7 linked regions of the Coturnix japonica genome follow. The protein of the gene in region 1 interacts with the protein of each later gene in a pairwise test. Links are inferred from orthologs where the notes say so. Each region holds a gene or a part of one and is shown in the gene's direction. Other genes may lie near its edges. The genes, in order: MORN4, RANBP3, SSX2IP, TRIM23, SEPTIN6, BEND3 and HMMR.

Region 1 (3,978 bases):
CATCAGAGAATCAATTATACCTCGAGATCCACTCCTTCCAGTCTCACTGGCCTAACGCTTCCCATCCTATATCAGAACGTCACCCTATGTCAGAGCTCCCATCCCATGTCATTAGTCACCACGGTCAGGAGCTGACGATCCACAGGAAGAGAGAAGCGCCTGCTGGACACAACAGCTACGGGGGAAGGGGAACAAGCTTTAAGTGTGGCACAGCCCATGCATTACAAACTGAGATACCCGCTGGGCACAGCCCCGCAGCGCCCAGCTCAGAGCCACGAGCTGCCGGCCCTGCCGGCCCACATCACCGGGATGGAGGGGAGCTCCCGGCCCGGCCCAGGGCGCTGCCGACTCACTCCTTGCGGGTCCTTAACGAAGTAGCTGCCGCTGGAGCCCTGTGAGATGCGCTCGGGGTAGATCCCTCTCTCGCTGGCCAGCTCTGCCCGCCGCACCACCTCGGCGAACTCGGGGTCCTCGGGGAAGTCGTTCCGTTCCCGCTGCGCCGCCGCCGCCGCCTGAGCCTGGGCCGCCGCCGCCGCCGCTTGGGCCTGGGCCTGCGCCGCGGCCGCCGCGGGGCCCCGCGCCCCACGCTCCAGCAGCGGCTGCCGCTCGCGATCGCGGCCACCGGGGGAAGGAGGCGGCGACGGCTGCGGGGGGGCGGCGGGCGGCAGCGTGCGCACAGCACTGCCCGGCAGCCCGTAGTCGGGGCCCTGCGCCCGCTCCGGGGACACCAGCGGGCTCGTCTCGTCCATCGCGCCCGCCGCCCAACGCTTCCGGTCGCGTCACGTCACGTCGCGAACTGTCATGACGTCATGACGTCACCGCGCCGTCACGCTCCATCGGCCGCCCCGCCCGCCGGATGCCGAAGGAACCGGGCCCAACGTCCGTCCGTCCCATGGCGGTGCTCGGAGGAGGCCCGGCGGATATCGCGGCCCTCGGGAGGAGCCGGGCGAGACAGGGCGAAGCGGGGGCTTCCTCGGTCCGTCTCCGAGGAAGGCTCGGTGCCCCGCACAAAGATGGCCGCTCTGGGGTCAGCAGCGCCGCCGCCGCCCTTCACAAAGATGGCGGCAGGGCGGGGCGCGGGCTTTGCCCCGCGCAAAGATGGCGGCGGGCGAGGGCGAGGCAGCGGAGCCGACCAATGAGAAGCCGCGTTGCTAGCGGTCTCCATGGCGACAGCCAACCGCAGGCGGGGATGGATGCCGGCGGTGTAGCGCCGCCCGGCGGGGCGGGGGGCCGGCTGGGGAGGTGGCCGCCGCCCCTCGGCGGGACCGCGGGGTGAGAGCGGAGCAACGGGCGGCGGACACGGAGCAGGTGAGCGCGGGGCGGAGCGGCACTGCCCGCAACGACTGCAGGGGGTGAGCTGCAGGCCGGGGGTGAGCTGCAGGCCGGGGGTGAGCTGCAGCCCGAGCGAGGCTGCCGCCCCCGGCAGCTCAGGTGGCTCCGTGCCCCGCCGTGGGGCGGGCGGCAACACGAGCCCGGCGGCTGCGGTTACAGCGGCGGGGTCGGGGTCGTGTGTGCGTGCTGCTGCCCGGCCCTGCCGCAGCGCGGCTCTGTGCTCACAGCTCTGTGCTCACAGCTTTGTGCTCACAGCTCTGCTTACAGCTCCCTGCACGGCGCTGCCATGACCCTCACCAAGGGCTCCTTCACGTACTGCAGCGGGGAGGAGTATCGCGGGGAGTGGAAGGAAGGTGAGATGGGGCGGGGTGGGGTGGCACAGCTGACTGCATGCTTCCATAGCCCAGAGCTGTGCTGAGCATCCTCGCCCAGAGCTGTGCTGGGCTGCCCCTGCCATCGCTCCATCCATCGCTGCCGGCTTTTTCTCCCGCTAGGACGCAGGCACGGTATCGGCCAGCTGACGTTTGCTGATGGCACCGCCTACGTGGGGCACTTTGAGAACGGTCTGTTCCATGGCTGTGGAGTGCTCAGCTTTGCTGATGGCTCCAGGTGAGCACAGCACCCCGTGTCCTCAGCACAGCCCGCATGGTCCGGTGTGAGTACCTGGCCCATTGATGCTCCCTCTGTCTCGTGCAGGTATGAGGGGGAGTTTGTGCAGGGCAAGTTTAGCGGTGTTGGCGTCTTTACCCGCTATGACAACATGACCTTCGAGGGCGAGTTCAAAGGCGGACGTGTGTATGGCTTTGGTGAGTGTCTGAAGGTTCCTCTTGGCTCGGTGCGTGCTGACAGAGCAGCAGGATGTGCCTGCCAAAGCTCAGCACAGCCCCAGCTTAGCAAAGTCCTGCCCACCCCTGCCCCTGCTGTCCTGCCCTGTTGGTGTGTCTTGTTCCATCTGTCCATGCCTGGCCCCAGTGTCTGCTGCTCCCTACCCTGTCACTCCCATCCCTTCCCTCCCCAGGTCTCCTGACGTTCCCTGACGGCTCTCATGGGGTTCCCCGCAACGAGGGCTTCTTTGAGAACAACAAGCTGCTGCGGCGGGAGAAGTGCCAGGCGGTGATCCAGAGGGCCCAGACTGCCTCCAAGTCTGCTCACAACCTCACAGCGTGATGGCACCCTGGCACCTGCATCCCCCACCCGCTGCAGTGGGACTCCCCCTGGTACTGGCTGACCCAGGGCAGGGCCATGGCACTGCAATCCATTCCCTCGCCAGCCACCCAACTTTGGCAGGACTGGGAGTCCTTCCACTGCATGGGAAAGACCTCCCTGCCAAACTGTGCTGGTGGGGAAAACAGACCCCTGTGCCCTTCACCCAAGTGCCCCTAGGTGGCTCTCTGCTTACTGGGGCCACCGTGGTGCCTTCTCCCTCTGATTGCTGCCCTCCCCCTTCCCCACGAGGAGCCTCCACTCTGGCCCCAACCCCACCAGAGCAGCCACCAGCAGGAATGAGGGATGGCATGGCTGGAACCAAACAGAGGAGTTGGGGTTGGGGCTGGCTCCTGGCCCTATTGCCTAGGGTGCCTATGCCTGCAGGCAGTGGGCAGCTGGCTGGACCATGTGTGCACAGAGGGACAGATCCTGGCCTGCTTCTCCAGCCCAGGTCCCCAGGCAGTGTGGGCACTCCGTGGCCTGTGCCCTCAACGCTGCACCCACTGGGCAGTGTGACATGATCCCCCATGCTCTTGGGATCATGGAAAGGGCAATTGACTGTATCACTCTCATCACTGTGCCTACCCAGCCCATTTGATGCCTTGGAGACATCTCCACTGATTGGGGCCAGGAGACGCTTGGCCTGACATTCATCCTGTGTCCAGAAGGAGCTGGGTGAAGGCAGCAGTGATGATGAGAAATAAACAGATTCAGACCAAACTAGGGGCAAGGGGCTGAGGCAAGGCAGCATGAAGTGCCAGGTTTGGTGCAGGGGACCTGGGCTGGGTGGGCAGGGAAAAGAGCATGACAAGGGTGCAGGCAGGGTGCAGGTAGCTCCCCATCTTGCTCCAGCACTTGCATCCTTCATCTCTCCTTGTGTGTACCTGCCTTCTCCCCCCAGCATGGCCCAGCTTACCAGGACACGGCCCTTGTATCCCTCTCAGCCCAACTGTGCCCTCCCTGAAGGTTTTGCCCACACCGGTCCCGTGCCTTGCTGTGTCCCTGCCTTGTGCTGCTGCCTGTATGGGCCTCAGCAGAGTAAACCATGTTGCCAAACTCCTGAGCTGTGTCCATCTTGCTGGGAAGCAGGGACCTGTGCCCCAGGGTCAGCTGCTTGCACAGGCACAAAAGCATATGCAGAGGGGAGGTGGCAGGTTTATTCATAGTGCTCTGTAGGGTGGCTGGGTCAGCGTCGGGCATCCATACCCCAAGGGACGGGGGGAACCTGCAGTACCTCAGGTGGGCACCCATGTGGATGGGGGGCTGCTGCCTGAGCCCAGAGGGGGTTTTCGAGGGGTCTGGCATGGCCACTGCATGCCCAATCTGGACATGCTAAGGTGTTGGGTTTCCCTCCACAAGCCCTGTCCATCAGGAAGGAGTGAGATGAATGTTTTCCTCCTGGCCATGTACTGCTGTCTCCACTGCATCCTCAGCTCCCAA
Region 2 (3,500 bases), on another chromosome or scaffold:
AGCACCAAGGAGGATGCTAAAGCAGAATTTTGAATTTAAGTACTTGATAAAGCTCTCAGTAATACCAGCATAAGCTATTTCTACTAATGGTTCAGGTAAACACTTTTGGAAAGGTGAGCTGACTGGAGGACTGCTACCTGCAGCCTTTCAGAGTAGTTTTAAAATGGGGCTTATCCTTTCTGCTTGGTGAGCCGTGGCTTCCTGGTGCAGGTGAGTCTGCATTCCTCATTGTGACTGCACGTGCTGGGTGTGTTTCATAGTGTTCTGCCTATGAAGGCTACTCCACATGGGACATGTGCTTCTTTTCCTTGTCTGGGGTGAGCCTTTTTGGCCCAATTCAGAATGAATAGTGATCACAAGGTACCAAACAGGGAGAGACAAAAGCGGCCAGACTTGCTGAAGTTGCCACAGGCTCATGTCTATTAGTCTGTAGCACCTGCAGTGCATGTAGTGGCCCAGAAACAGTGTGAGGAAACAGTGGGTGTAAGGGTGCAGTGATGTCACTTGAGCACATGGTGATTAATCTGCATTTGCTTCCACTCTTACAAGGCAGCTGGGTGCCTTTAGAAAAGGTAATTTGGTTAATGAGGGATGTGTCGAAACTGCAGGAGCTGCTACTGAAATATTTGTAACTTTTTTTCTAGTTGGATTTCTAAGTAGGGGAAGGGAGTAAGGGAGCTCTTACACTGGGTGAGCAAACTGGGGGTCAGATCAGGGATTACTGGTTTGTCTCACAGCTCCTGATTTCCAGCAGCTGCGTAGAATGAAGTCATTTGGGTCACTGTAATGGTTCTGTGTGAGGTGGTCCTGGCTTTCAGTTCTGTTATGTAGTTTGTGTGTGTAAAAACAGTGCTGTGAAGTCCAACTGATAGCCTGCAAAAGGGGGCCTGAAAACCTGGGGCAGAGGTGTCCTGACTGGTGAGTGCCCACCTGATGGAGTGAGTGTTGCCTGCAAGTGTTTTTGTAACAGCAGAGACCTGGGATGTACCTTTTGCTGGAAGCAAGTATTAAAAAATAATAATTACAATAATACTATATTCTTAAAATAATATTATATTCTTGATGCTTGAGTATCATTTAACAGTTTTAGGTGGTTTTGGAACTTGGGGGGAAGAGTCTTGTTGATTTTTCTGCACATACAGATGTGCAGTTTGATGCAGGTTGGAGTATCTGACTGTGCTTTCTACACAAAACAGCTTTTTTCTCTCTTTGAATACTGGTTGCTCAAATGGAAGATATTGTGGGTTTTCACTTTAGCTTTCAGGAAAGTAGTGTTTGTTGACAACAGCAGTGCCTATGAAAGCCATATTTCAGTAATGTGGATTACTTGGTGAGTTACATGGGGATGGTGTGGATAACAAACACAATATTACTGCATTGGATTGATGGATGAGTGTTGGAATGGGAAAACTATTCCTAAAACTGCAAATAGCTCTTAATTCCTTACTGAGATTTCAAAGCTACGTGACTGGGATGCTGGTAAACTCACTCTTCTGTCATCTTAAAACAGAAAACTGTATTGCATAGATAAAGGTGAATGTATGTGGGTAGATGTTGTAATGAGAAGGTGGTGATGCTGCTCCATTCGCCTCCTGCAGCACATGGAATTCCTTGTGGGCAGTTCTGTGGGAACAGGGAAGTGATGTAGAAATCCTCAGAAGATGTGAAAACTTCAAATATCTCATTGTGGCAAAGGGCAGCCTGTGATACTGCCTGCTTTTCCTTCTGGTGCTCTGGAACTGATATCATAGGGTGTCTCTCCAACACTGGTGTTTTGTTGATGGAACTGATAACTGTCCCTGTCCTCTGATTTCAGAGATCAGCAGATGGATCGAGTCCAGAAGATGGAGATGGTAAGAAATGTGATTGTAAACTTAAGAAGTGCTGGTAGATAAATAGAATTCCAAAAATAATCTTTTTTTTTCCCTACAGAATCTGATCGAGAGGATGGGAACTACTGTCCGCCTGTGAAGCGTGAGAGAACTTCATCCTTAACACAGTTCCCTCCTTCTCAGTCAGGTAAATGTTAATTATTACTGTACTGTATGAGCTGGGTTTCCTATTTCTGTTTCTCCGAGTCACACCAGTCTTATTACTGCCTGCTTTGCTTTACCTCTAATGACCACAGCAGCCACATACTGACTTCCCTATGGTCTGTGATAGCAAATTTAATCGAGCCCAACAGATTTTGATGCACAAACTTGTATGTTTTCATACACATGCACCAGCTGGAGCTTCTAATGTTATGCTGTTCAATGGAAGAATTTACCAGGTATCTTTTTGCTTTGTCGTGATAAAATCACCTCTTAGAGACTTTGCATAAATGCTGTATTTTCCTTAGTTCTGTGCTGTCAGATCTAATCTCAGCTTGTACTCAAGTTCCCTTTGTCAGTTCCTTTTTTCTCATTCCTCCTCAAGTGGAGAGAATACAGTGCATTTCAGCAGTGTTCTCACCCAGCACATGCAAGAGATGCACTGTGAAGGGCACAGATAAGTTCTTCTAGCTCATATACACTGGAGTGGTCTGGTGTGACACACAAAAAACCACAGAGCTGAGGATTATCTAAACTGAGATATTGTGGTGCTTAAGGCAGACCTGAGTCCATTCTTGGTCATCTCGGCTGGGAAATTCTATGATTGTGATCTTGGATGCAGGTGAGTAGTTTCCCAGGACTTCCTTTTTTACATTTCTAAAAGCAAGAGTTATGTTTCCCCTTTCCCAGTCATTGGGAACTTCCCTGGGCTGCCACAGCTTCTCAAACAGAATGGAGAGTGGCTCGCCAGCTTCATCCACCAGTTTCTCAGGGGCACTTGTGTGAATCTCAGCAGGTCCCATAGACCTGTGTATATTCAGGTTACTTGGATGGTCTTAAATCTGGTTTTGTCCAGCAGCAGGCAGTTACTTATTCTCCCAGTCTGTCTTTGCCTTCTGTGGCCTGGGCAGTGTGGCGTGAAGACTGAGGCAAAGACATCTCTGCATACCTGGTTTTTCATATCCCAACTAACCAGGTGGTGTTCCCATTTCCTTCTGGAAGGGGCCTATATGAGATATGGGGAGACACAGGGTAGTCATGACTTGGAAATCATCTCTCCACTCATGGATTACCAGCTTGGATTCTCTTTCTGCGTCCCATGGGCTGTGCAGTGATAGCAGAATCTTTGAGATCCACTTCAGCAATTGGCTGTTATTTCTTTCATATCTCAAATCATGTCACAAAGGAACCTTGTGAGATCTCTTTTGATTTGTAATTCAGGAGAGAATTCAAACTAGGAATGCTGTTTGTCTTCCCTCTTGGCAGTGAATGCTGCTGTTACAGGAGAAACTAAGCAGCAAGGATCTGCTTGTTTTTTGTATCTGTAATACTATTCTAGTGTAGAAAGAAACAAAACAAATAAAAACCATAGCAAAGTAAAGCAAATGATCAGAAAAACTTTGTTTTGGGAAAGGAACTTATAATCAAGAACGGCATACCCAGCTTCTCTTATTTTTCTTTTTACTT
Region 3 (3,500 bases), on another chromosome or scaffold:
AGTGAGGGGGATATTTGGGTAACGCGGTCTTCTGTCAGTAAATACATAAAAAGGTAAAAGAAGTGTCATCTGAATATGTAATTGCACATTGTTTCATGCTTTGAAATCTCCTTTTCATTTGTAGCTATGGAAGTTCTAAATTATGTTGGTAGAGCTGATGGGAAGAGAGGTGCGTGGAGGACTGATAAGACAGAAGCCAGGTGAAACTGTAGTTGCTTTAGAACAACATTAATTAAACTCTTTGTTATGTTGTCACCTTGTTACTGTCACATTTCTGCTTTCAGAAATGAAGAACAAATGTACAAAGTTCTGCTAAGTGACTATGAGCAACGCCAAAAGCAGCTTTTATTGGAAAATGCTGAGCTGAAAAAAGTTCTTCAGCAAATGAAGAAAGAGATTATTTCACTTCTTCCACCACAGAAACAAAAACCTAAAGAAAGGTCTGAAGATGGGCCAGTAAGTATTCTTTGGTTAAGCTTAAGTCTGTGATAGTTTGCAGTGCTGGAGCAATCTGATTAAAATACTTCCTGGAAGGCTTGCAGTGGAAGGACCTGAAAAAATCTTTTCATTATTTTTGTAATAGTAAAAAAAAAAAAAAAAGTAAAACCTATATGTATATATAGGTTTATATATATATATATTATATATTATATTATATACACACACACATATATAAGTTTTACTTTTCTTTGGTCAAACAAATCTACGTATGTATTTAAATGTGTATTTTTTGAACGTTAAGATTGCTTGCACCAGGCTTTGTTTCTATTTCTATAGGTACTTTCAGACTTGGAGGAGGACATTGGAGAGTTAAATAAAGAGAATATGTGGGAACTGTCATGTGAAACTGTGCGAGAGCAGCTTACCAACAGCATTAGAAAACAATGGAGAATGTTGAAAAATCACGTTGAAAGGCTGGATAACCAAGGTGGTGTTTAACTCATATGCGTACATGTAAAATGCTCCTGACTGTTTGGTGTCATGCTCTTTGGATTTACATTACTGTATGTCTTAACTAAGTGGAAGCTAAAATGCAAGGGATTGTGACCTGATAGACTCCCTGAAAAGGCTTGTGATTGTCATTTTCTACATGAGTTTAAATTGTGGGAAGTTAGGAAAGCTATTGCCTAGCAAGTCTGTTATCCTGAGAACAGACACAATTGTAGTTTGACAGAGTAAACAGCTTTCTTCAGAAATAATTTATTTTTCTTTTGGAGACACGTGCACTGTAATATGCAGGTCACTCCAAAAGTAATGCCTTCTGTTTATTTTCATGAGAACTGTAGCAGATACAAAGAGCACAATAGTACTATTGAATAGACTAAATTCTGAACTGCATAATACTGTTCTGTTCTTTTCTCGACGTAGTCACCATTAATTAGCTATGTGCTTTTGCCAGTAGTTAACAGGAGCCTACATGTCATGCTTGCAAAAAACTACAGAAAATCTTCATTAGTGGAGGTGACATGCTGTTATCACTGCTGAAACAGACCACGCACCATCTTGCTTTGCTCACATCCACTGTGTTTGGCCTCCATAAACATTCAGCAAGCTGTTTTTTTCATTGACACACCTTTGCTTCATATGCATTTCCATGTCAGATGCCATTACTGCCCTTCTGCTGCCATCTGTCACATGGCAATGAAATGTAACAGAATGCTGGTGAGAAGGTTCGACCTCTGCCACCATTGTCTGCCTCTGATGTTGTGGGCCAACTTAAGCAGGAAGCATTATTTTCAGAGCAGCCCTTGTAAATGTTGGTTGTATTTCCCCGTTTCTCTGAGCTGTTCAAGTAATGCAGATACTCAGTTTCTTTCAACTTGGGATATGTGATACACAGATCCTTCTTAAAGTTTGAGCTCGTTACATCCATATCTCTAGTGCTTCTGCTGGCATTCTAAAATGAACTAGTTGATGGTATGGTGCTGGACTCTCCTCATTTCCAGCTGTTAAACAGCATTAAAAGACAGCTAAAAATATATAAAATTCTTTCCTAGTATTATTTTCCAATGTAAGCAAATGCTGCTGCTACAGCAAGGATGTTTGCAGTCAGGAATAAGAGTGAGAAGGTCATGAATGTAGTTGCAAATAAAAGAGCAGGTGGTCTCTGGTATAGACATATTCTTACAGAAAGGATTTTAAGATCACTTATTCTGAGTAATATTTGACTCAGTGTACTGACAAAAAATAATTGTAAGCATCAGGAAAAAAAGATTCGAGTATTTGCAGTCTTCTTGGAGTTACTTTTTATTTACTTTTTCTTTTTTTTCTTTTTGAGTTTATAGAGACAACCATGTTCTGATCTGTTAGCATTTGCTTAGTGTTTAAACACTGTCAGCAGGGGATCCAGACTTGGCATATTACAAATGCTGGGATGGTTGTATCTTTGTACAACCACACATTACATTATTTCATCTCACGCACATTTTATTCCTCTCTGATTCATTCCCTTTCTGAGTTAAAAATGTGCACACAGTGTTCCAACTGTTAGCTCTGTTTCTCCTTCATAGAACACGAGGGAAAAAATCTTTCCGTTTTTATCTATGGTATATATAGTTACTGCCATACTCTTATGAACACATAGACCCTTCAATAGTGGGCTCAGAATAGGCTAACCATGCATCAGTGAAAAGAAATCTTCACTTGTTATTTTCTTTTAAATAACTGCTGAAACAAGTTGTGGTGGTTATTTTTGGTGGTGGTGTTTTTGTTTGGTTGTTTGTTTGTTGTTTTTTTTTTTTGGGCAACACTGTTGCGGCACAGATTTGTGATTTACCTGAATAAATGTTGCAGCATTTGAGGCACGGACTCAGATGTGAACGATCCAAATCGTTTATTACAAGTTCTCACATCCCTTATATTACCTTCACAAGTTATTTTTCTAACTTTCCCGTCTGCCCTTACAACTTTCCCAACCACCTTTACATGTCAACAAAGCATTCTACAAAACACTTTTCAACTGTCCATGCAGGCACGTATCCAATCAGAGCTGTGAGACCCTTCTTCTCCTTGCAGAGGTGTCCTTGGTTCTCATGCTGTTTATCTTGCTCCACAGCTGCTGCTCTGAACAGCTTTTCTTGTATTCCCACAAAATGTGAAATCTGAGGTGACGTTGTAATGTTCAGCTCAGGATAAATGGCAGTAGCTCTTAATTACGAGTGTAGTACCAATTCTGGATTGCTTGTCGTGATAATAGGAATTTTGAGTGCATGATGAATGTGTCTTTTGGAATTAAACTATTACAGTTTAACAATCTTTGTTATTGCTTTGAGTTTTAAGTGTTGTGATGTATTGTTTTTAAGTAACCTTTTTCCCTTTTTTCTTCTCCCTTAGTGTCACGTGTGCATTCAGGAGCCTTGAATGATAAAGATGTAATTTCAAGGGAAGACCATGAGCTGGAAACTGAAAAACTAGAGTTAGAAATTCAGCAATGTAAAGAAATGATCAAAACTCAGCAGCAGCTTTTACAGGTAGCAGGCTTTTTGTTATTTTCAAGACCA
Region 4 (3,500 bases), on another chromosome or scaffold:
AATGTTAACTATACATAGTTAAGTAAATTGTATTAAATTTCATGATAATTATAGTTCTTATGGTCTTTTGTTGTTAGTTATCGCGGATTATTTTACAAGTGGCATTTCTTAAGTAGGGACAATCTGCATAAACAGTAAATAATTCCATGATGGAAAGAAGGAACAGGATGGAATGTTATTGTGAGCTGACATTGAGCAGCCATGGTACCTCACTGGAATTATATGTTCTTTTTAATGTTAGTTAAAATCTTCTCTGTGCTTTGTGAAATTCTCATTATGTTATTTGCTTAGGCGTTTTATTCCTATCCCCTCACTTTATTTAGTTGTTTCTCAAAAATAGGAGATTCTGGTGTCTGGGGACTGAAAAAGAATTTTGCTTTGTTGGAACTATTGGAACGGCTGCAGAATGGGCCTCCTGGACAGTGTGGGACAGCAGAAGAAGCCATTGGTCTATCTGGAGAGGTACAGATTTTGGAAAAAGAACTGTGTTACATTTGTGTAAAAATATTATTAGATAGAAGAAAATTTTCTTGGCAAGTGTGTTTGCATTAATAAAGTTGTTTTCTTTCTGTATCTAACATGAAGATTATCAGTAATTCATAATTTAATTCTAATGTGCACTTACTAAATCAGAGAAGTTATTACCAAGTCTTCCCCCCTTTTTTAGGCTTTAAAGACTTTTCCAGAGGGTTACTTGTTTGGATATTTTATTTGTAATAATTTTAGGAGAGTTTTCTGGAACTTCCTAGCATCTCTTTTTACAGACTTTGAAACAGCTCTTCTTTCTGGATAGTTACCTTTTATAGTCATTCAGTGTGACTGTGTTGTATAATAGCTTCTTTACCAGAAAGGACTGCTTTAAGCAGTCTGGTATTAACAGCTGTTATGCACAAAGCATGCAGTGCAATTTTAGGAGCAGATCACTGTTCTGAGCACATATTTTTCTATTGTTGTTTTGTCTCTAACTTTCTCATTCTTCTTTCCATAATGCTTATGTTGAAGAGCTGTCTGGAACCTGAATTACTTTAGCCTCAAAAGCTCTACTGCTTCTGCTGAAGTGTACATTTAGAAAGTCAATTAACCGCTCAATCAAAACCCTCTAGAGTAATATTGGAACTTACTGTTAGGGAAAGTGATTTTTTTATTATTGTTAAGTAACAAGAGGTCAGGTTTTCAAAGTAGTCCATATTGGTGTCGGGTCTTCTGACTTTTCCGCTGTTGCTGAAAATTATTTATAATTTATATTAATAATTACTTTTATTATTAATTAATAAATTATTAATAAATAATAAATACTTTAATATTTTATTAATAAATATTATTAATATATTAATAAATATTAATAAATACTAACAATTTTGGTTTATGTTGGTGTTATTTTTTTAGAGTATCATTCGCTGTGATGAAGATGAAGCCCATGTTGCATCTGTTTATTGCACTGTTTGTGCCACTCACCTGTGTGCAGACTGTTCTCAGCTTACTCATTCTACAAAGACACTAGCGAAACACAAACGTGTACCTCTTGCTGATAAACCTCATGAGAAGACCATGTGCTCCCAACACCAAGTGCATGCTATTGAGTTTGTTTGTTTAGAAGAGGATTGTCAAGCCAGTCCTCTCATGTGTTGTGTCTGCAAAGAGTATGGGAAGCATCAAGGTCATAAGGTACTGCTGAGAATCTGTTTCTGGTCATGCTATGGAATGACTTGCATATTATTTATCCAATTTAAGTAGAAAAAGTTATCAAGAGAGGAGAGCAGAATCTTGATGTGCTTTTATAGAAGTACTGTCATTATTTTCTTTCCTTTTTCATTAGGAGAACTGCCACAATAAAAGTTACAGGGAAAATAGTTACGATTAAGACTATATTACTTATAAGTAAATTATATAGTTAATTTGATGCTTTTCAGATCTTCTCATGGTATTTTATTGCCTGACCTGAAGGTTGTTATTCATCTTGTAGTTTGTTCACCCAATCAGTTGCATTCCAACCTCCCTTTTGTGTGTGCTTTAATAAGTAATTATAGTAAATAGGCAAATTTCTGTTTGTACTTATATAATTGCTAGATGCCTGTCTTAGTAGTAGAATAGTATTTAGATTCTAAATAATGCATTTATGTGATTTACTTAATTAATATATTTTTTATCTAGTACGACAGAAGTGATATTTAAAGAAAATATTTGATTGATCATTGATATGTTGCTTTTAATTAATAGCATTCTGTCTTGGAACCAGAAGCAAACCAGATTCGTGCATCCATTTTAGACATGGCCCACTGTATAAGAACTTTCACAGAAGAAATCTCAGATTATTCCAGAAAATTAGTTGGAATAGTTCAGCATATAGAAGGAGGAGAGCAAATTGTTGAAGATGGAGTTGGAATGGCCCACACAGAACATGTATGCTATCTTCTTTGTTGTTTTTTCTTTCTTGCATATACAGAATATTTACAGATTGTAATAACAAATGGGAGCTTGTAAGGTTGTTTTTAAGCTTTTAACAAATAAAGATCTTTTTGGGAGGTAGTTAATTATAACATACTTCATTACAATTACATTTCAAGGAAGTTCTTGGAAAACTATATGTAGGCTTTACAAGACAAAACTTTTAAGTTTTAATGTCTACTGAGAGATTAAGACTTCTGTCCCAATATTGTTATTGAGACAACAGTTAAAGGCAATCTTGTAGTACGTGTCAAGGTTTTTAGTCATCATGAATGTAGAGAGTCAGTAAGGAAAGAGGTGTAAAGGCTACTTGATTATTGAAATAATTTATCTGAAATCTTGACCTTAACAACGATGAGGCTGTCTATGTAAATGGGACTAGAACTGTAAGGTAACTAAACAGGCTTGAACAAAATTAAGAGATATGAATAAAATGACACATACACTTGTACAGTCTTGTGGTGTTTTTGATTCTCTTGACATTTTGATTGTGACACTGTAGGTACCTGGGACTGCAGAGAATGCTCGCTCATGTGTCCGAGCCTATTTTTCGGATCTTCATGAAACCCTCTGTCGACAGGAGGAAATGGCTCTTAGTGTTGTTGATGCTCATGTGAGAGAGAAATTGATTTGGCTTAGACAGCAACAAGAAGACATGACTATCCTATTGTCACAGGTTTCAACAGCTTGCCTTCATTGTGAAAAGACTTTACAACAGGTAGGTTGGCAAGTGAGCTGCAGCATCTGGCAAGAGAAAGATAATGCAGTGTAAGTTTAGGCTACAAACAAAAAAGTGTTCTGCATTTTATTTTATTTTATAATTTTAAAACTGTAATTATATTACATGAGATTGGCCAAGTCCTCCAGTTGCTGTAAATTCTATGGCATGACTCTAGAGTAACTTCTGGTTGAATACGGGAGAGGTTTTTGGAACAGAGGTGAAATGGAAGGAAGGAAGAAAACGCCTGTGGGATTTGTGGGAAGGATTTTATAGCTGCAGTTGCTAACAGTTTTTTGAAAATGGTTTTTTGAAAACAGTTTTATACTAAATGACT
Region 5 (3,500 bases), on another chromosome or scaffold:
TGAATGGAGATGCATCTTTCACCTGCAGGAATTGGGACTGTGAGAGCAGCAAGCCATTTGCTCCCTGGGCGCAAGGGAGACTTACACTGCTGCCAATGAGTCTGCATTAACCTTCCTTTTAGAAGCATCTTTCCTTCTCTCATTTTGAAGTATGAGGCCATTTTCTCTGGAGGAAATTAGTCTGTAGTAATCCATAGCCTCTGTAGCCCCTGTTAGTAGTGTTTCTCCTCTCTGCTGAATAGTCAGCATTTTTGTCAAACAGGCTGATAGTGTCTAATTAAGATCACATCTGCTTGCTAAAGATGCAACATTTATATTTCTTATGGGTGAGGAGGAAGGGAGATTTGGAGAATTGGTCCTGGGAAGTGAATAGCTAAGAAGCAGCTCATTTTTAAAAAGCTAGCATAGGAGTAGAGGTGGCTTATCTCTGTGAGACGTCAAGATTTTTCTTCCTTTCATTAAAGCTACAAGCCTATTGTTGAGTTCATTGATGCTCAGTTTGAAGCCTACTTGCAAGAAGAACTGAAGATAAAGAGGGTCTTGCACAATTACCATGACACCCGGATCCACGCTTGCTTGTACTTCATTGCTCCGACAGGCCACTCGCTGAAATCCTTGGACTTGGTAACAATGAAGAAGCTTGACAGCAAGGTAGGCAATTTTAACTGTTACTGTGCAGGTCACCTTGCACATGATGGAAATGCTGCTGCTTTTCCAGGGCATGTTTCCCTACTTGCATTCCCCTTATGCTATGGCCGAGTTGGCAGATGCATCCTTTAGACTTACTGAGTGCTTTTAAGTTTTTTATAAGTTGCACTACAAGACTACCTGGAGCAAACCCTAGGACTTACCTCTCTGTTTCTCTCCAGGTCAACATCATTCCTATCATTGCCAAATCTGATGCCATTTCCAAAAGTGAGCTGACCAAGTTTAAAATCAAGATCATGAGTGAACTGGTCAGCAACGGTGTCCAGATCTACCAGTTCCCCACAGATGATGAAACAGTGGCCGAGATAAATGGAACAATGAATGTAAGTGACTCAGCACTTCCTGCTCTCAGAACATTACTGTTGTAGTGGTGGCGGCCTATATTGCAATGTTTCTTAAATCCACTTTCCCTTTTATTTTCTGTCTTGAGAACAGACAATCCATTTTTGTAGTGTCACCTTAGGCTAGCAGAGCCTTGAGGAAGGCTACTGCCTCTCTGGCAGGCTTTTCTAGTCAGAAAGCAGATGGAGTTTAACCACTTCCTTGTCTTAAGGTGTAAGTGTTGAGGTACATACAGGGAATTGGACAGATGGTGAAGTCTGGCCATGCTGGGCATGGACAGTCCTGTGCTGTGAATTAATCAGATGAGTATTATCTGTCTGCAGCAAGCTCTGCATTTCACACACCAAACAGCTTTGCTGTCCTTGATGGGAGTTTCCTGTGAAGCCTTGCTTCTGCAGGTGTCTCCTCCTGCTGTCCTTGGTCTGGTTTTGCCTTGCAGCTCTGGTGAAAGATGTAAAGATTGGCCAGGAGCAGTGGGTTGGTTAGAGCAACCCCTTCATTTGAGGTACAACTAAATGCTGACATGAGAAACATGTTGTCCAGTCACAAAAGATATAGTTTGTGCCAGGGTGGCCCAGTCATCTCTCTCTTCCAAATGTCTGCTTTTGGCCACTCTCAGAATAAAAAGAGATACTGTATAGGATGCTTCCTTGAAATATTTCTTCAGTGTCTGATTGCATTCAGATCAAGGATTTCTGTCCCACCTGATCCTCTTCCATCACTGAACTTCCAGGATCCTGTGGCAAGATCACGCAGTTGATCCACCTGTTCAGAACAGAGTACACAACTTGAGTTAAATATGTTTTAAAGCATCTGCAATTACTTTCAGGCTGTAGGCATTCTGGGCTGTATCAACTGATGCACAGAGAGATCAGCTGTTTAAATCCTCCATTAAACTAATGCAAATCACAATTGCCGGGTGTTACAACTGGAAAGATTAGCACAGTGGAAGGGCAATACAGGACTATAACAGCAAAGGGACCAGCACAGATAAAATGGTATTTCAAAGGAAAAGTAAAGGTACTCACCTATCTCTGAAGATTAAACGTTCTGGATCAGCTACCTCTTCTTTTTCTTTTTTTAATTACAGGGAAAATTGAGACTTATCTCTTGGTTAATTAATGTTTTGCTTATGACCTGCTTTGATTATCTTTAGCATGGCAAGTAAAATTAGGTTTTAAAATATGTGAACTCATTACTTAGTGTGCATTTTAGGTTATTGTATTGATGCATGAGGAATTCTTTCATAGTATTTTGCATTCAGGGTTGACTTACTAAACGAAGAGAATACGGCCTGATGTGACAGAAATCAATCAACTGAAGATATAAGATCTCTGCCATTGTGATCAGAAGAAGTATTTAGCTGTGAACAAAGGTGTCAAGTGCAGCATTTAGATACCAGTTGATTAAACAAATCTTCAGAACAAGATGCTTGGTTTTGCTTCAAATCAATTTGGTCTTTCTGAGAATCCCACTGTGCATACGTTTACAAGTTCAGAGATGTAGAGAGCACTTGAAAATACTCCCCAAAATTCTTTGGATCTCCTCCCATCCATTTTTTTTTTTTTAAAACATAATACAAAATTAGATCTTTGCTATTCTTTCAGCTCCCAGTTGGCTTTTCCATTTTGATTGAATCAATTTAATTACTGCAGAATGTATTCTCCCTACACCTGGTAGTTAAATGAAGCCATGTGTGACTATGTGAGCTGTTTGTTCCACGTGGTGGGAGCTGGAACTTTTGGAAAAAAAGGAAATCACCAGCACTTTCTCCCTAGGTAAAACAGCAGCCAAACAGTTGATACTGATAGGTGAACCCCTAGCAGAATAGGCCTAGCTCTATGCTGACCTGCATCCTTCCATGTGCTGACATGTCAGCGCAATTCTAAAAGTAACTGTGTGAAGGGCACCTCAAGAGTCTGTGGTGCCCAGGGCCTCCTCACGGCCCAGAATGGCCCCTCCAGACTGACCGCTAAGCCCCACTTGTACTGTTGTGTCCTTCATGAGACAGTTTTGAGGCCAGGTAATAAAAGCTGAAGAGCTGTAAACAGTGTTCCATTCCATTGGCACCCTGAGGCACTTTTAATTGCCCAGAACCAAGCACAGTTTAAAGGCTCTAGCTAACAAATATCTCTGCACAGAACTCAGCAGAAGGGGTGAGTGCATGGAGCTGGCAGCTTTATTTTTAAGTATTGAAACCTTGCATTCAATTTCTCTGCAGCTTGGTGGAAGGTTGCATAGTTCCCAGGAGCAAGTGGAGGTGGGGAGAGATCTCACTCATTGCACAACAGAGAGACTTCAGTCTCCTGATCTGATAGAGCAAGCTATCTTGTGTTCTGGTGTGAGCAGAGGGAGTGGGAGGGAGATAAAATAAAGAAGACTCCAAGAAGGCTCGTTTATTGCTTCTGTGCTTGTGCAGATGTTCTCCTCAGCCCTGGCAAGCCCCTGGG
Region 6 (4,123 bases), on another chromosome or scaffold:
GTCGATGAATCGCTGGCTGTAGATTCTTGTCTCGTTAATAAATCGTACCCTCGTTAAGTGGTCCGTCAGAGCGGTGTGGAAGCTGGCAGCTCTGCTGGGATGGGCTCTGCTGGGATAAGCCAGCCCTTAACAACAACAAAAAGAGCAGCCAACGTGAAGTCAGCAAAGCATTCTATGGGCATTACGTGGCCACTGTGGCACTGTGAGCATGGCCCAAACCTAAAGTCTAAACTCAGAGCAGCCACACAAACAGAAGACAGAAATCACAGGGAGCTGTTCCTGACGACAGCACCTCAGATCACAGGCTGGCTATGTTTCACTCGGTCCAAGGGAAAGCGGGAGCACTATCACAGAATCACAGAATGACCCGTGTTGGAAGGGACGTCAAGGATCATGTAGTTCCAACCCCCCTGCCTGGCAGGGCCACCAAACATACACATTTACTAGATCAGGTTGCCCAGAGCCCCGTCCGACCTGGTCTTGAACACCTCCAAGGACGGGGCATCCACAACCTCCCTGGGCAGCCTGTTCCAGGAATCCTACGGGAGGGCTGCAGTGCCGATGGGGCAGCGGGTTTGCTCGGAGAGTTTCGTTCCTGGAAAGTCACTTCCCAGCCGTGTGCCACGCACTGACGGCAGCGACACGGCACCGCGCTGCCCCGGCTGCGGGAGAAGCCGAACAACGCGGGCAGTGCGAGCGGCCGCGTGATGCCCGGCGGGACCGAGCGCCGCAGCTCCGGGTCTCCGCACAGCGCGGCCACGGGGCCGCCGCGCTCCCGGTCATGTACGGCTTCACCGGCGGGGGTTTCCCGTGCGCAGGATTCGCCGAGCTGACGTTCCACGCGTTACTGTCAAAACGGATGGCGGCCGCGCGGATACTCGTTACAGCGGGAGCGCTTCCCGTCCCACGGCCCCGCGGATCCCCCCGGAGCCCCCTGCCCGCCGCGGGGTCCCGCGTGGGGCGGCCGCGATTCGCCGTTCGAGGGCCCGAGGGGGGGCACGATAACGGCGCCCACCGTTGGAGCGCGTTGTCCCGCGGCCACGTGCTCGGCGCTGCCCACGTGCGGCCGGGTCTCGCGGCGGGAGCGCGCGTGGCGGGGCCCGCGCTCGCGGGATTCTCCGGTGGGAGCGGCGGCGTGGGGGCGGAACGGGGGGGGGGGAAGAGAGGCCGCTCCTCCCCGCCCCCCCCCCCTCATCCCCGCTCCCACCCCCACCCCCCGGCTCTGCCCCTGCCCCGGGGCGGCGGGTGGCGCTGGCCGCGGCGGCTCGGGGCTCGGTGTCCTTGTGCGGAAATGACACACGGTCCCGTCACGTCACGCGAGAGCGCAGCGCGCGGACCCTCGCACACAAAGAGCGGGGGGGAGAGGCGGCCAACAGCGGCGGCCGCTCCAGCCGCCCCCGCCGTCCCGGGGCCCCCGCGCCCCCTCGTACGCGCCCCGGTAAGTGCCGCCACCGCAGCACGGGAGGGAAGGGGCAGCGGGGAGGGGACGGCGGGAGGCCGGGGGCTGGGGGCTGGAGGAGGAGGAGAAGAGGAGGAGGAGGAGGCGGCCCCTCGCCCCGCCGCGGCCGGGCCCCGCTCCCAACACGGAGCAAGGCGGGCGGGGGCTCTTTGTTCGCCGCTCGCGACGGCGACTCGGTGCACGAAACCCCGGCCCGGGCCGCCTCCATCCGCGGCGCTGCGCTGTGCTGCGAGGTGCTGCGGGGAAGCGCCGGGCTGCCTCCCCCCTTGTCTCACCTCGTCTCCCCCTCCCCTCCCCCCGCTCGCACCGGCCACATAGATCCGCCCGGCCATGGTTCGGACCGGAAGCTCCAACCGCCGCCGCAGCCCGGGCTCGCGGGTCTGACCGCGGAAGCGGCCGCGGGCGCCGCGTGCGGGGTTTGCGGGGCGGCCTCGCCGCAGCCTCCGCCTCGGGGCGGGGCCGGGCCGCTCCCACGTGGCGGCCGCCGCCTCCCCGACGGGAACAGAGCGACGGGGGGATGCGGGGAACGGAGCGGACACGGAGGGTGATGGGTCCGTCCCCTTGCCCTTGGTGGGGGTCGGAATGCTGGTTTTGAACGGTGGGGCATCAATAATAGGTTGTATTCCAACCCTCCATTTTGGGGTCACGGGCAGCACCCCGCTGTCACCAAATAGATGGAATAGAGAACATTTGCTTTAAGCACTGTGTGCCCTGTTTGCGTTTTGCTGGTTGTTTGGGTAACAGATGTACAAGTCCCCTTTCATAGGAGCCTGTAGGGTTGTACAGGGATATACAGGGAAGCCTGTAGGGATGCTGCTCCAGCAGGGGGTTGGGCTGCATGGTCCCCAGAGGGCCCTTCCCACCCCTATGGCCCAGGCTTTGGGCATCACACTTGTTTCCTCAACCTGCTGCTCAAACAACTAACCCTGCTCTTCCAAAACACCCTTCAGAAATAATATGCGGTGATTTATAATGGAACCCAACCGAACACGTGCAAAGTGCAGCTCAAGAGCAAGAAAAGCAGAGTCCTGCTTCTTTCTATCTGCTGTCTGTCTGTGCTGGTGGTTTGAGGTGTAACTTTAGACATGATTAATGCAGATGTTTGAGGTAGCGGCGTGCTGGCAGCCAGCTGCAGCTATTTGCTTATTCTCCACGTCATGCAAATGAGTGTGGTGATGAGGTTTTCCATAACAGGAGAATACTTAAAGAGGAAATTAAAGCATTAATGAAAGTGCCAAAAAGTCCAGAGTAAAATAGTCGTGTTGCTGTTTGAGAGGGTGTTGAGAAATTTCTGCCTTGTTGTTTAAATTCAAATCACTGACCTGGCCCCAGTGCTGCAGGCAGGAAGCAAAAGACCTGAATGACGTGGCCAAAGCCAGAGTTCTATAGGGTTGCTCCAGCAGAAGAGCTGCCCTGCAGCTGTTTGGTGAGCAGCACCCAAAGAGGGAGGCAGCTCCTGGACCACCTGAGCCAGAGATGTGGCTTCAGAAGCCCTTGTCCTTGCAGAGAGTTAGTCTGACCTCAACCTTCTGAAACATCACAAAGGGCAGAGTGTTCAGTGTCATCAGGTAGTTAGAACCACCCTGCACTGGGTGGAACTGCATCCAGCCAGCTGCTTCCTTGCTGGTGGACTCCTCCAAAGGAGGATCGGTGGATCGCTGTGTTTTAGGCCTACAGAGCAGCCCCAACTGGAAGGGAAGTCAGAAGCTCATCAGGCCCAGCCTTCCTTGGAGAAGGGAGCCGAGGTGAGATGATCCAGCACTGTCTGCCCATCTCTGCCCAACTCTACCATGGCCCTTGGGAGCTTGTTCCAGGGATGTTCTCACTGTAAAACATTTCTTTCTTATATCGAGCTAAAACCCCTCCTGGTACAGCTCATGTCCATTGCCCCTCATCGTCTCCATGTGGCTCCTTGTGAAGGGAGACCCTGTGTCTTCTTTGTGGCTACCTGTTAAGTACTGCGGTGCCCCCTGAGCCTTCTGTTCCCCAGCTTGAAAGGGCCTAAAACTCCTTCAGTCTTTCCTCCTGCAGCAACTTCTCCAGCCCCTTGAAAACCTTTGTGGCACTCCTTTGGATTCTCTGCATTCTGTCCTTTTTATTACTGTTTATTCATTTATTTTTGAGTTGTGAGTCTTTACACTGCTTTATCCAACACATGCTTTACGTGAAGTACAGACCCAGAGACGTGGAACAGGACCTCAGACCCCTTATTGTCTGAGAAGTCTCTTAACTAATAAACTGTCCTTGATTGGCTTTGGGTAAACCACACTGTCATCATGTAGCGTTGACTTGATCAAGTGCTGTTGCAGTGAGGCCAGCTACTTTTTCTCTGTTAAATACCAGCAGTTCTGTGTACTCATCTTGTAAAACGTACCCAATGTTGCCTACTTACAATATCAGCTCCTTAGCTGGGTTAGCTGAGTGCTTTCACTGCACGCTGAAAGCCACAAAGTCGAACATATTCTTCAAATATGCTTTTAAACACATTCCCAACGTGACGAGCAAACACTGTGTCCTGTCTTGAGTAATGTGAGTAACAGTTTCTCCTTTTCGGATGTAAACAAAACTCGAGTAGTTCTCATTAAAGCCTGTGACTTTTATGCATGAAGCAATGTACCACCATGAGGCACTGGAAGGAATAAACATATAACACACGTTCTTAAG
Region 7 (3,500 bases), on another chromosome or scaffold:
CTGAAGACAGTGTGCAGAAGAAAATGAGCAGTCTATGTATGGAGTTAATGAAGCTCAGAACCAAGAGGGATGCTAAGGAGAAGGTAAGCTGCTTTGTACTGTACAGGATTGATCTGCCTAGGAACGGTCAACAAAGAGCTTGCAGCAGTTTTTTCTTTTTTTTTTTTTTCTTTCCTCAACTCAAAAACTGCTTTTCATTCAATGGAATTAGGAAAGATAATAATGAATGATCCTTATTTCGCTTTTGATATGTGAAGTTCCTCTGAATAACAAACTGTAGAAATATTTGTTAGATACATTTTGTTGACTACATAGATATATTTGTTGACTACATTTGATGTAGTCAAAAAGCAGTGGCCTCAAATTGACTCTTAGCCATTGAATGGGAGCTTTCAAGTCATGGCCTGAACTGCTGATTGAGTACGTAGGGAGAGGACTGGGTCAGCCCTGGGAGCACAGGTGAAGGCAACACAGCTGTGTGACCTGAAGGGCTGCAGCCTGGCTGCACTTCTCTTAGGCCTCATTGAAGGGCTGACTGCTGCTGGGGAAGGGTCTCTTTCTGGAGATCCCTCCTTGGCAAAGCTTTCCCCTGCGAACTTGGAATCTTCTGATGTGAGTGAGCAGTCTTTCCTTCATTTATAGCACCTTTCTGTCATGCTGGTCTTTCTGTCATCAAAGCTCTGTTACAACAGAGAAAGAAAGGTTGTAATACGTTTCCTCTCATATTGATCTGTCCAATTGCTACAGCTGTGTGTGGGTTTTCTGGGTAGTGTATGCCTGTAGTTGTAATGAACAGTTGTTATATCTGCAGATGGGTAATTTGAATAAAGGAGTCACATTTAGCATAGGGGCTAGTACTGTAATTAATTTCTGGTTGAGTTAATTAAAAATTAATATGACTCAAAGAAAATTAACTTCTGTCATACTAGTTTTGGTGGTAACACTGACCTTTTTCCAGACTGCACTTGCGAAGCAGGAGAACATGGAAATGAAGCTGCAGGAAGTACAGAGGAATCTGGAGCATTCAAAAGGAAAAGTAGCACAGTTACAAGAAAAACTGTAAGTAGTAAGAAAAGGAATGGATGTAGTAACATGAATATCTGAGCTGTTTGTAGCTTGGAGAAAAATTAAGGCCATCTTTCTACTGGGAGGAAACAGAAATTAACAGTGGCCTGAGATAAAATTTATGGTGAGATGTTTGGATGTTTGCTGTGGGAAAATTTTCCCTATATGAAAAGGACTTTTGCTCCCTTTTAATATCCAATTGCTTGAATTAGTACATTTTTTATATTTAGTTTTGTGTATTTTAACTGTAATCTAATATTGTAGGTAATGCAATTCACGAAAGGCAACGATAATTTGTCTAACCAATGCAGCCTGTCTAACATACTCAATTGTGCTAAAATGTGGTACAGTGTTGTTAGTGCAAATGGAAGTGTCAGCCACACTTGATAATGGGAAGAATGCATTAGTATTAAGTAGTGATCCAGTGACAGATTACTAGTTGCTTACCTGTAAACAAATAACCTATGATGTTATAGATACTACAAATAACTCTGATGTACTTGAATATTTCTATTTATAGTGCAAATGTCTTGGGTTTTTTTTTTAGGTCTGCTACGGAGAGAGAGAAAGTGGAAGATAAGTGTGACACTGAAAGACTCCTGGATTATATCACAGAGCTCAGGTAAAAACTGTTCTGGAATTGGACTGTGTTAAAAGGCAGTAAAACTAAGCTTTTTTTTTTTTTTTTTTTTTCCTCAGTGAAGCAGAATTTTGGGAACAATTCTACAGTAATAAGAGTGTGGGAGGGAAAAAGTGGTTATCCTTCCAGACAGATGGGAAGGAGTTAAGGTGTATCCACATTTAGAAAGTTATTTGTATACAAAACTCAGCTTTTGTTTTTTCTTCCTCTGAGCTACTGGAATTTTCTGTTTTTTATTTTATATTTTATAGCTGTGATGTTTAATCTTTGTTTCTGGCACTTAAGAATATTGATTTGGCTGTGAACACTACCAGCTTAGTGCTATGTAACAGGTGGAAGCACTAACCAGCTCCTCAATGATGTGTACCTAGCTCAGAAAATTGTGAAAACACAAAAGCATTCCAATTTAGTTCCCTTCGATCTGAACCTTCCTTCTCCACCAGCGTCCCATTTCTGCCAGTTTACTCAGTAAGAGGTTCCTCATGAACTTGCCTAAAGTTTCTACTTATTGTGAAGTCTGGTTTATTTGTGTGTGTGCTTTTCTGTCAAACTCATCTTTCTAAAAAAAGCAGGTGTAGAGATGATCTGTAAATGAAGTATTGTGAGTAATTTTATTTCTAATTGAACTTAATATCAAAATTGGTATTTTATTATTGTTTAATTTTAAGTAACTTGTGTTAATGCTGCAAAAAAAAAAAAAAAGTCTAAGTAAGGAAAGGAAGCTTTCCTGCTAAAAACAAACAGTATTCAGTATTCCAAGCATCTCTCATTTGTGCCAAAGTGAAATCTTAAAAATGAAGTTATGGTAACCAATAAATGTTGTTCTGTAGTGGTGCTGCAGAAGCTGTAGAGAAATACAAGCTAGGCGTTGCTCAGATGGAGGAGATGTTGATCAAGAAAGACCAGGACATCAAGATCCTGAGGGATGCACTCCAAACAAAAGAGGAAGAATCAAACACACTGATTAGAGCACTTAATGAAAAGTGTGAGTTGCTTGAACAAGAGAAAGGTAATTGCTACTTGTTGAATGCTGTTCATGTAGCTGGGATCACATATGCATCCTATAACAAATGTTTGTCTAAAATGGTAGTGTGGATTCCAAATCATATCTCAGCTTCAGCTGAAAACAGACCAGCCTGTTTGTATCTGTATGGAAACAACTGAGTCTATGTTTATATTTCCACATACTGAAGTAAATAGTGTAAAAATACGAACTGTTTCAATGCTACTCTTCAATCAAAAAGGTGAATGCTTGTTCTTTTTGATTAAGAATCAGTACTATACACCTTTATTTCACTGTTAGTGGTTTATACCCAAGTTCACAGAGGTACTGGGAGTATGTCCAGGAATCCTTCTTTGCTTCTGCTCCCCTAACTCCACTCTACTCCTCACAACTCTGAGGGAACCATTTAGTAGGTTTTTCCTGTCTGTGCTACTTTATTTGATAAAAGCTAATTGTTTGAGCTGATGTTTGCTACCATTCATGCCTAATTAGAAGTGGGATTCTTTCAGTTGGTTTTGATGAATTCCAAAGGGGGTAATATATGAGGTGGGTATTTTCCATGCTTAACTAACTTTACTTAGTTATGCTATTTTAGTTTTAGAGTAGATGTTGTGCTTCTTTGAAGGCAGAGAAGGCATTACCTATTGCATTCTTGCTAACTCTATGCAGAGAGAGAATCATCTGAGAGCAGAGGAAAAATCTTGAGTATGAATGCTGAAATAGAAGAGCTGAAAAATAAAGCACTTGTAGAGGAGCAAGAACACCAAAAACTGCTTCAGAAACAAGAGGAGT

What was found.
Region 2: the proteins of MORN4 (region 1) and RANBP3 interact in a two-hybrid assay, tested with the Homo sapiens proteins (2 studies listed by BioGRID). The two-hybrid records come from large-scale screens. The link is inferred for Coturnix japonica from reciprocal best matches to the Homo sapiens genes MORN4 and RANBP3.
Region 3: the proteins of MORN4 (region 1) and SSX2IP interact in binary tests that used the Homo sapiens proteins (3 or more experiments, as listed by UniProt). The two-hybrid records come from large-scale screens. The link is inferred for Coturnix japonica from reciprocal best matches to the Homo sapiens genes MORN4 and SSX2IP.
Region 4: the proteins of MORN4 (region 1) and TRIM23 interact in binary tests that used the Homo sapiens proteins (3 or more experiments, as listed by UniProt). The two-hybrid records come from large-scale screens. The link is inferred for Coturnix japonica from reciprocal best matches to the Homo sapiens genes MORN4 and TRIM23.
Region 5: the proteins of MORN4 (region 1) and SEPTIN6 interact in binary tests that used the Homo sapiens proteins (3 or more experiments, as listed by UniProt). The two-hybrid records come from large-scale screens. The link is inferred for Coturnix japonica from reciprocal best matches to the Homo sapiens genes MORN4 and SEPTIN6.
Region 6: the proteins of MORN4 (region 1) and BEND3 interact in binary tests that used the Homo sapiens proteins (3 or more experiments, as listed by UniProt). The two-hybrid records come from large-scale screens. The link is inferred for Coturnix japonica from reciprocal best matches to the Homo sapiens genes MORN4 and BEND3.
Region 7: the proteins of MORN4 (region 1) and HMMR interact in binary tests that used the Homo sapiens proteins (3 or more experiments, as listed by UniProt). The two-hybrid records come from large-scale screens. The link is inferred for Coturnix japonica from reciprocal best matches to the Homo sapiens genes MORN4 and HMMR.

What each region holds. Positions count from the first base shown.
Region 1 is NC_029521.1:19,470,883-19,474,860, forward strand, and holds MORN4 (MORN repeat-containing protein 4), read left to right. Parts: upstream 1-1,178; 5' UTR 1,179-1,308; intron 1,309-1,587; 5' UTR 1,588-1,618; coding exon 1,619-1,685; intron 1,686-1,826; coding exon 1,827-1,941; intron 1,942-2,028; coding exon 2,029-2,138; intron 2,139-2,304; coding exon of another isoform or gene 2,305-2,350; coding exon 2,351-2,499; 3' UTR 2,500-3,598; downstream 3,599-3,978. Other genes in the region: PI4K2A (phosphatidylinositol 4-kinase type 2-alpha), read right to left, coding at 354-749. UniProt on the Homo sapiens protein: Plays a role in promoting axonal degeneration following neuronal injury by toxic insult or trauma.
Region 2 is NC_029543.1:279,871-283,370, forward strand, and holds part of RANBP3 (ran-binding protein 3), read left to right. Parts: exon of another isoform or gene 1-293; coding exon of another isoform or gene 294-317; intron 318-1,816; coding exon 1,817-1,853; intron 1,854-1,932; coding exon 1,933-2,019; intron 2,020-3,500. UniProt on the Homo sapiens protein: Acts as a cofactor for XPO1/CRM1-mediated nuclear export, perhaps as export complex scaffolding protein. Bound to XPO1/CRM1, stabilizes the XPO1/CRM1-cargo interaction. In the absence of Ran-bound GTP prevents binding of XPO1/CRM1 to the nuclear pore complex.
Region 3 is NC_029523.1:14,419,795-14,423,294, forward strand, and holds part of SSX2IP (afadin- and alpha-actinin-binding protein), read left to right. Parts: intron 1-124; coding exon 125-200; intron 201-284; coding exon 285-456; intron 457-777; coding exon 778-928; intron 929-3,333; coding exon 3,334-3,470; intron 3,471-3,500. UniProt on the Homo sapiens protein: Belongs to an adhesion system, which plays a role in the organization of homotypic, interneuronal and heterotypic cell-cell adherens junctions (AJs).
Region 4 is NC_029547.1:14,362,179-14,365,678, forward strand, and holds part of TRIM23 (E3 ubiquitin-protein ligase TRIM23), read left to right. Parts: intron 1-340; coding exon 341-462; intron 463-1,386; coding exon 1,387-1,665; intron 1,666-2,217; coding exon 2,218-2,400; intron 2,401-2,947; coding exon 2,948-3,163; intron 3,164-3,500.
Region 5 is NC_029519.1:15,401,085-15,404,584, forward strand, and holds part of SEPTIN6 (septin-6), read left to right. Parts: intron 1-464; coding exon 465-651; intron 652-869; coding exon 870-1,031; intron 1,032-3,500. UniProt on the Homo sapiens protein: Filament-forming cytoskeletal GTPase. Required for normal organization of the actin cytoskeleton. Involved in cytokinesis. May play a role in HCV RNA replication.
Region 6 is NC_029518.1:61,788,397-61,792,519, forward strand, and holds the start of BEND3 (BEN domain-containing protein 3), read left to right. Parts: upstream 1-1,323; 5' UTR 1,324-1,438; intron 1,439-2,504; exon of another isoform or gene 2,505-3,204; intron 3,205-4,123. UniProt on the Homo sapiens protein: Transcriptional repressor which associates with the NoRC (nucleolar remodeling complex) complex and plays a key role in repressing rDNA transcription.
Region 7 is NC_029528.1:8,992,149-8,995,648, reverse strand, and holds part of HMMR (hyaluronan mediated motility receptor), read left to right. Parts: coding exon 1-83; intron 84-958; coding exon 959-1,059; intron 1,060-1,612; coding exon 1,613-1,687; intron 1,688-2,535; coding exon 2,536-2,714; intron 2,715-3,377; coding exon 3,378-3,500. UniProt on the Homo sapiens protein: Receptor for hyaluronic acid (HA). Involved in cell motility. When hyaluronan binds to HMMR, the phosphorylation of a number of proteins, including PTK2/FAK1 occurs.